Oryzias latipes: one gene and its partner. The protein of the gene in region 2 interacts with the protein of the main gene of each other region in a pairwise test. Links are inferred from orthologs where the notes say so. Each region holds a gene or a part of one and is shown on either strand. Other genes may lie near its edges.

What was found.
Region 1: the proteins of jade1 (region 2) and ccdc94 interact in a two-hybrid assay, tested with the Homo sapiens proteins (2 studies listed by BioGRID and IntAct). The two-hybrid records come from large-scale screens. The link is inferred for Oryzias latipes from reciprocal best matches to the Homo sapiens genes JADE1 and YJU2.

The regions. Positions count from the first base shown.
Region 1 is NC_019880.2:9,137,610-9,141,798, reverse strand, and holds the end of ccdc94 (coiled-coil domain-containing protein 94), read left to right. Parts: intron 1-1,407; coding exon 1,408-1,552; intron 1,553-1,649; coding exon 1,650-1,784; intron 1,785-1,874; coding exon 1,875-2,056; intron 2,057-2,132; coding exon 2,133-2,280; intron 2,281-2,633; coding exon 2,634-2,805; intron 2,806-2,883; coding exon 2,884-2,972; 3' UTR 2,973-3,578; downstream 3,579-4,189.
Region 2 is NC_019880.2:21,642,686-21,647,215, reverse strand, and holds the start of jade1 (protein Jade-1), read right to left. Parts: upstream 2,952-4,530; 5' UTR 2,760-2,951; intron 2,747-2,759; exon of another isoform or gene 2,575-2,746; intron 2,569-2,574; exon of another isoform or gene 2,449-2,568; intron 2,367-2,448; exon of another isoform or gene 2,348-2,366; intron 2,314-2,347; exon of another isoform or gene 1,659-2,313; intron 1,489-1,658; 5' UTR 1,448-1,488; coding exon 1,399-1,447; intron 907-1,398; coding exon 842-906; intron 294-841; coding exon 136-293; intron 4-135; coding exon 1-3.

The DNA of each region.
Region 1 (4,189 bases), about 13 Mb from region 2:
TTTGCGTTTATATTTTTGGTCAGTGTAGTTCAATCAATACAACCGTTTGTACTTAAGATTTCTCACAACAGTATTTAGCAACTGGTAAAGGTAATTATTATACTTTGAAATTGCCACCAGATAGAGATGCTTAATTAAAATAAACAGTGAGAAAATGTTACAAGAGGAAACGTTCTCATTTTCCAAATAAGTTAAAAAAAATGTAAAAAAATAACCTGATAGACTGAAGGGTCAATACACAACGAGTCTTTAAGTCCCACTCCATTTATCTTTTGATGTATATTAAAAGTGGTCTTTTAATTGCGATGCTGGCATTTTTAGTCAAAATCAAAAAACCTGTGTCGTTTTCTAGGACATAGTTTCTGCAGAGCGACAGTAGTTTATAAGACATTTCCCCTCTGAGTTGTGGGCGAGACTGTTAACAGTGTCAGCCTACCAACACTTTCCCATGATCCCTTTGTTTCTGCTCTCTTCCCACTAGCTGACAGCCACTCAAACCCCCAACCTAACATTGCAGGTGCAACAAAATTGATGATTAATATTGTAGCTTGGACAATAAAATAAAGACGTACATGGATCTATTTGTCTGCAAGTGGATGCGTGGGAAAGGAGCGGGGCAGGGAGCTTGTGGTTCGCCGACTGTAGCACTAACGTCACTGCTACAGACATTTTCAAGCAGTATTTTTTTGTTCCTGATTCACAGCAATTTGGAAAAAGGAATACTCAGAAATGCATTTTTAACCTTAATTTTTATATAGCCCTCCGTCATGAGAAAAAGGCCACAAGAACATGTAAAAAAAAAAACTAAAAAATAACTTTTCATTGGAGTGAGTCTTCATGCTTTATAGAAAGAAGCTGTTTGTGAGTCTCAGAGTCTGTGGTTGTACTGTGGTCTTATTAAGGCAGGTTGTGTAGATTTAAGCAACCAGAGAGAAGTCAGTCATATTTGGAACAGTCAGCGTCACTGCCTGGAGGGCAAAATATGTTCATGCAATTTTCAGCAACGCTACTTGTAGAAACTGCTTTACTATCTAATAAATCAAAGTTTAAATATAATAATAAAATCATTAGACAGACTTGGACAGAAACATAAATCATAAGACTTTTTCTATTCCAGGTTCATCAACCATTTTTCTGTATTTCACTGATTTAGTTGGAATCACTCTTTAGTTTAAAGCTTCATGCTGTAAAATGTGACACATCTCTTGTCAAGTATGATCAATTTGTAGCCTTTTTTTTAATGTTTTGTCTGTCCAGGATCCAGCATGGCTTTTTATACAATAAGCCAATTTTTTTAAACAAAGTTTAGTTTCAAGAGCTTAACTTGTCAATGACCTTAACTGCATGCCCCCCCCCCCCCCCCCACACACACACACACACACACTCTGTCTGTCTGTCTGTCTGCAGGTGCAAGACATGTGGTGAATACATCTACAAGGGTAAGAAGTTTAATGCACGTAAAGAGACTGTGCAAAATGAGCTGTACATGGGACTGCCAATCTTCCGTTTCTACATCAAGTGCACTCGCTGTCTTGCTGAAATCACATTTAAGGTGAGCCTAAATGATTAATTTTCTGAGGGAAAATGTAAAGCTTTGCTTTAGTCTTAAGGTTTTATATATTCTGGAATGCCTCGTGTGGGAATTGTAGACTGACCCTGAGAACACAGACTACGCCATGGAGCACGGTGCCACACGAAACTTCCAAGCGGAAAAACTTATTGAAGAAGAAGAAAAAAGGATCCAACAGGAGAGGGACGATGAGGAGCTGAACAATCCTATGAAGGTCTGTGGCTTTTGTTTTTTATTCCACTCTATATTCTTAAAATTCCCAAGAATGTTGAACGTTAAAAAAGTGAGTTTGATCGCCTGGCAGGTGTTGGAGAATCGGACCAAAGATTCCAAGATGGAGATGGAGGTCATGGAGAACCTGCAGGAGCTGAAAGACTTGAATCAAAGACAGGCCCAAGTGGACTTTGAGGGAATGATTGACAAATACAGAGAGATTGAAAAGAGAGAAAAGGAAAGGCAGAAAGAAGAGGACGAGCGTGAGACAAAGTGAGCCGGTCCCATTGAACACGGTCTACTTTGTGTGCAGGTAAAAAGAAAAAAACAATAAGTTGTCTTTTTACAGAGAGATGTTGGAGCGGGCTCTCGTGAAAAGACTCAGAGACTCGGACTCTGATTCAGAGAAAGAAGAGGAAAGCAGAAGCCGTTTGAAGAAGTCCAGTTCAGACAAGCCGACTGACATCCTCACCTCTGACAAACAACCTGAAACTGAGGTTTGCCAAATAATTTAAATTCATGTTTTTTTTGCTGGATTAAAAGGGTTCTGATTGGTTAAATCTGGAATTTTCCAAACCTTGCATTCTATTTATCTTTTTAAATTTTATTTAAAATGTGTTGATTTGTAGATTAGATCGAACATGTTCATAACCAAATTGATATATGCAGATTATGGGGACAGCTCTGTCTTCTTCTGTTTTCTCACCTTCCACTTGATACCAATGAAACACTTTCCGCTATTGCACAAAAACGTGTAGGTTAATGCTTCAATTTTGTCTTGCTTTTTATTGACCGGGATTAGCCTTTTAGATGTTATTTCTTCCAGACTGATTTGAGCTGTACTCTGTAGGGATCCTCAGCTTCAGGAGTGAAAAAGGTTAAGGTCGAAAGCTGGGAGATGAGTGTCGGGACTCTGGGAGGCAAAGGGTCACTGAGTTCCCTGGTGGTGCGAAAGAAACCGGCAGACTCCATAAAGAAAGCTGCCACAGATGAGGCAAACGCTGCTCCCACCTCACACACAGGTAAAACATTGATGACATCCTACTCTGCTGATTGGTCTAAAAAGGCAAAGTCATGGAATTTCTGCTTTTTGGTTTCAGATTCAAAAACGAATGTCACTCAAAATGGATCTTCATCTCTGAGCCTGTTGGGGGCATATTCTGGCAGTGACAGCAGCGATGGAGAATGAAGGAAGCCATCTGAAATACCAACAATGAAAAGAACATACAGATCTTTATGTACAGTTTTACTGACAGTAAAAAAACAACCAATAAAAGTAAGTTAACTAGAGGCAACTTAAGAACAGATCTGTTGTCACAGAATTCAATTAAGAAATAGTTTCCTGTTTGAAAATTTAGAAAACAAACCTATCCTTTTATTAAAAGTGGTTATTCAAATATGTTTTTTTTCTATGTCTACCCAGTGCTGTATATTTTAAATGCTTACGTTATTCCTATTTGTTTTTTTGTTTTGTTTTTTTTCTTCAAACTTGGTTGTGACACCCCAAATCTGTTAGATCCAATAGAAGTGAATAAATGAGCTGCTTTATGTAACATAAACATTACTTTTGTGATGTTTTAGAGTTCGACATTTTGGTGTGACAGATATCTTTTTAAGAATCGGAGCATCTTAATGTATTTTAAGTACAATTTTGAGACTTTATTTTAAAAATTTATATCATATTTTTGCTTAAGCCTTTCTATAATACTTTGGTTATAAAAGTTTCTTTAATTTGAATATTTAAAATGATGTAAATTGTTCCGTGACTTAAGCAAATACAAAAATGGTAAAAACACCCTTTTGTCTTTCTTTTTCTAATACTGACCTAATATGATTATATCTTATTACATCATATGTCAATATTTTCATTCTTGGTGATTTTTACTGGGTTTTGTTTGAAGCTCGTGTTGAATTCAAACGGTTTAATGAAGTTGGATTTGTTATTTATATGAAACTTGGTTGTAATAAAGTGTATTATTAGAAAATTCAAAAAAGGTTTATAAATAGATATTAGTTTTAAATTAGCTAAAGATAATTAACAAATTTTAGCAGCTCTCACATCCGTGCATGTTTCTTATAGTGTGTTATCTCCTCCTGGCCAGAAGGTGGCGGTAGTGATCTTTAGGAGCAACCTTCCAATAAACCAAAATGAAATAAACCGATATGTTGGGAAGAACACGTCGGGAAATGGTAGTTGGTGGGTTAACTTAATTTGAAGATAATACCTATGTTCTTTTCTGAAGTTTGGCTGCGTTAATCAGAAATTTATAATAGCAACGGGGATTCATAAATGCAAAGAAACTGGGTGAGTTCAACTGCAGTTGTTGGCGTTCACTTCAGGGCCGTTTTTGTCGGCAACCTGATTAAGACAGTTTACTTTAAATATAATGAAGAATATACACTTAA
Region 2 (4,530 bases):
ACTCTGCAGAACACGGCACATGTTTCCAACCCACGACTCAGGCCCAGACCGCGTCATCCACGAAGGGGTTTTTAAAAGTTGACGCGGGTTTTCTGAAAACACGGGGACTCGTGGAGACAACGGGGTGCGTGGTACCTGGTGACGGGCTGTGGGATGGACTGCGGACTGACAGGAACCTGGACTCCCTTCTCCCACTCCTGCCTCCACGGGTCGGCGAGCACAAAGTAGTCCTCTGGGTTGAGCGGATGGGAGTCGTGTAATTTCATGGCGGTGATCAGGTCCGTCCTAAAAACCTGCCGCACAAGCGAACGCGCTCAGTTACAGCCCGTCTGCCCCCACTAGCTAAAACACAACACCCGTTCTCACTGTAAACTTTGGAAAAATTGGACAAATATCATAAAAAATGACCTAACAACTATTAGTTGTTCCATATAAATGTTTAACTGAAGGCCAGAAATGTAAAAAACAGGATTTAAAAAATTGCAACAGCAGCAAAAAGCCACCAATAGGAAGGCAGTGATAGATTGTGTGACTTGCAGGAACAAAGTCCACACGCTGTTCAGAAGATAAGAGAAGTTTCCATCCACACATGCTAAGCTCTGGAACTTAGATAGTCAGCCTTTCCTTACACCGTCTGCTCAAAGACACTTGATGTGCTCCAGTTTTTACTTATTAACAAATTCAAAGCAGAAAAAGCTGCTTTGGAGTGAAAAACCACATCCAGATGACCCTCTTTCTTGGCATGGAACCATCCTGGATGAAGGAGAGTCTTCACAGATCACACAATGGCAGCCCACGGCTTGCAAATACACAACGCAGCCGTCAAGAAATGCTGACGTACCTCAGAGGGTTTCTGCCCGCCGCCCCTCCGGTGCTGCGACGAATGAGACCAGCAGGTGGAGCTACCTGAGGGACAAACATGGCAGAGTTTAGTCCTGCTGCTCAGACAAACAACTCACAAAAACAATCAGACCAGAAAGTGGGAAGGAGAGTTTCTTAAACCTCTGAAAGGTTTGGTTTTCTGCTGCAAAATCCCAGAAAATGGAAGCAGAGGAGGCTGCTATCAGTCCCTACCAGTTGTTTCTGTTTGTTTGACTGCGTCCATAAAGATAAGACAGTCCAAACACCATCATTTACTTCTGACAAACAGAAGGTCTTAACCGGTTGACCTCGGTTTTCCTCTATGTGAAACCTGACCACGAATTACAAACTCACTTTGCATTTAAAAAAAAGAAACATTTTCAGGACAAAAAAGTGACAACAGACTATCGTCTAACTCCAAGAAACCTTTCAAACTTGATTTAAATGTCAACTTTGGATATTCTTGTGAGTGAGAGGAAGAGTCGCTGCATCTGGATGGCGTCTAAACATTAAGTCTAAAGGTGACTCAGCACTTACTGCCATTGTCTGAGTCATCACTGGTGCTGAGGTGCCGGCTCCTCTTCATCTTCGTCTATCAACACTTCAGAAAACAGCCAGACAGAGAAACTGTTACAAACAAATGAAATACAACTCATTTCAGTCAGACTAAAATGGTTAGAAACTCCCGACTAACAACACACACCCACACCCACACAAACAAACAACAAGGAATAATGTGGTGGTTGGAGTTCCAGGTCGGTTCCATCAACACAAAACCTCTGCAAAAGTCCCCAAACCTGCAGAATCATGGTGGTAACAGCTGATGCAGCGACACCAGAAGCTGACATCCCAACAGCTCCAGACTTTCTTACAAACAACACCAGTCCCGCTTCAGTGCGCGCAGAGGCAAACGGGCTACACGCATGCAGGAAAGGCCTGCTCCCGTTTCCTAGGTGATGACGCAGCGTCAGGGACGTGTGCGGGCGATGACAACAACTTTCCACAAGATGCGACACAAACAGAGCAGCGACCCGCCGAGTTACGAAACCAGCCGTTACCGGGCTGCCGCGCGCGAGCCCCAGGAACCCGCCCCGGCAGGTTTCGGGGTCGGCTAGCACCGCGAGGTTCTGGACAGTTCGAGTGACGCTCCGTTGGAGAGCCAACAACAGCAGCAGAACGTGATAAATGTAGCAACATGTAGCGTTGTTAGCCCTGCAAACCGTTAAAAACACACAGGGTTATTCTATATATAGAGGATGGTTGTAATTTAACGCACACGTCCTGGCTTTAAAGCAGCTTCTAGCTCGAATTAGCTTCATGCTAATGCCTTAACCGCGGGCCCACCCACTCACCGCGCATTTTAGTTTTAAGGTTATAAACTATCAATAAATGCATAAATTTGTTAAATTGGCTCTGCGTATATTCATAAAAAACCTTTTAGGAAATAGAGCTAAGCCATTGCTTAAAAGAACAAGACTGCTTTGACCTGTTTTTTAGCAGCAGGCTAACGTCAGTGACAGCGATTTGTGTTTAGCATTAGCCACCGATGCTAGCATCGCACACTCTCCTGGTTTAAAACCAACTCACCACGAGCTTTAGGACAAAGGTTAAAGGTCAAAGACCTACTCCACGGCCAGCGTGAATGCATGAGCGACACAAGTTATTAGAAATGACGGAGGCGGCGCGGCATAGCAGCAGGGAGGCATGTTTTACCTGCGCTCCCCTGCCTCAACTTAAGCTTTGGCGCCATTTTAAATGACGATGTCGCGTTCTCCTAGCGGATCGTTGCTGCGACCGTAACACTGCCACGGGTAAAAGTCGCCCAAATACCCCGATAAGAGCACCGAGTTACACCGCGCAGGTAGTAAGTGAGTTCGAGTAAATTCTGGGGTACATACAAAGCGCGCCAGGCCGGTGGAAGTTGGTGGCAGAGTTTGATAAGAAGCGCTGTTTTCTTTTCTTTTTCTTTTTTTCGAGTGAGTTCCGCTTCGCCCGCGTTCCACATACACATAAACACAAGCGGCGAAAGGGGAGGGGACTACGGGGCGCAGCTGCGCCTGCGCACCGCCAGAGGGCGGCAAACCCCCTCCAAACACACCAACGACCAACGGAAAGTAATTTTCCACAGCTTTTGTGGGCAACACGCACGCGCAGCAACGTGACTTTGACTCTTCTGCGGTCAAATTAGGATCAGCTTTGAGAAAATTAAAAATACAGATTGGACATTTGAAAAACAGACATTTCAAATTTGAAATAAAAATAGTTCAAAGCCCCGCCCCTACGTCAAAATAGGCTCAGCAGTGAAAACTTGAAAAGTCTGAATTGAAACAATTTTAAGACCAAAAAAGGAAATAAAACAAAATAATTTAGTTTTTTTTTTTCAAATGCTGAACTTACTTGTTTTATTATTTCTCTATATTTCTTACAATATTTTTTTTTCTGCGAATTTACAATTTTATGTTCTAAGATTTCAACAAACAATGTGGAGAATGTGTACTTTTGAGTTTAAAACAGTTTTGAGGTCATATATACATTTTCTAATTCACTTGATCCTAATTTGTCTCTGATTCATCATCCGACTGTCTCTGAAAAAACGTTTTCTCTGGAGCTTTACATAAACTCTATGAACCATTTGGTCGTTACAACAGCACCCAGAGGAAACACTTACAGCTTTAGCGTCCAAATCAAACGAAGAAAAGGAGACTATAGTGGTCTTAAACACTGCTTAAAGTTCAAACTTATTGTTTTTCTTTAAATTTATACTTAAACTAGAATCTAATCATTACATTTCCAATCATTCTTGACACAAAACTGTTCTTATTCTGTATGTTGGGTATAGGACAATTATCTCTCTGGGACACAACGATTCTTTGAATCTTTATTTAACATGTCATCAAAACCACAAAAACTTTATATTCAGTTCAAGTCAATTCTAAAGGGTAAATATACACCTAAGTTAAGAGTCTCGCCACAAATTAAACACAGAAATCCTACCTTGATTATGATTAAATGAGCCCTAAATGATTCTGGGTTGTTAATTTTGTTCCAAATGATCACATATTCAGTTTTTAATGACCCATATAAGTGACAATAACCTGTTTTGTCACAAGTTTCTGCCAGATTTCAGACTAAATAATTCCCACCTAAAGATGCAGACGTTTGACCTGAATGAGGGTCCCTTCAGAGCTTAAATTGAAACCCACGTTTCCCCCACACGTCTTGACATTCTCCTGCATGTCATACGTTCATTCTGAGACCCGGAGCTTGACGTTACATGATCCTTCCGTTGGCTCGAGTGAACACTGCGAGTGTCGGCGTCCTCAAAGCTGCCGGCGTCACAATATTATTTAACTAAACATCACAAACTTTTTCATACAAATAAGGACTTTTTCATGTGAATGAACAGGAAAGAGGAGGATTTCATCCTAAATAAACCCCAAACCGTCACACAACCGCTGCTGGGGTTTTGATTCCTCAACAGGGAGACTTGCAGGCAGAACAGATTCAGCACAAGTCAGGAGATCGGAAAGAATCTCTCCGGATCTGACGGGAAACGGACTCACAAGAAGAAACGAGTGGAGACCCAGCTCTCCTCTGATTCACCTTTTCAGGCCTTTACATGGATTTTTGTTTTTACACAGAAGAAAACTAGACGATGAATCATTAATG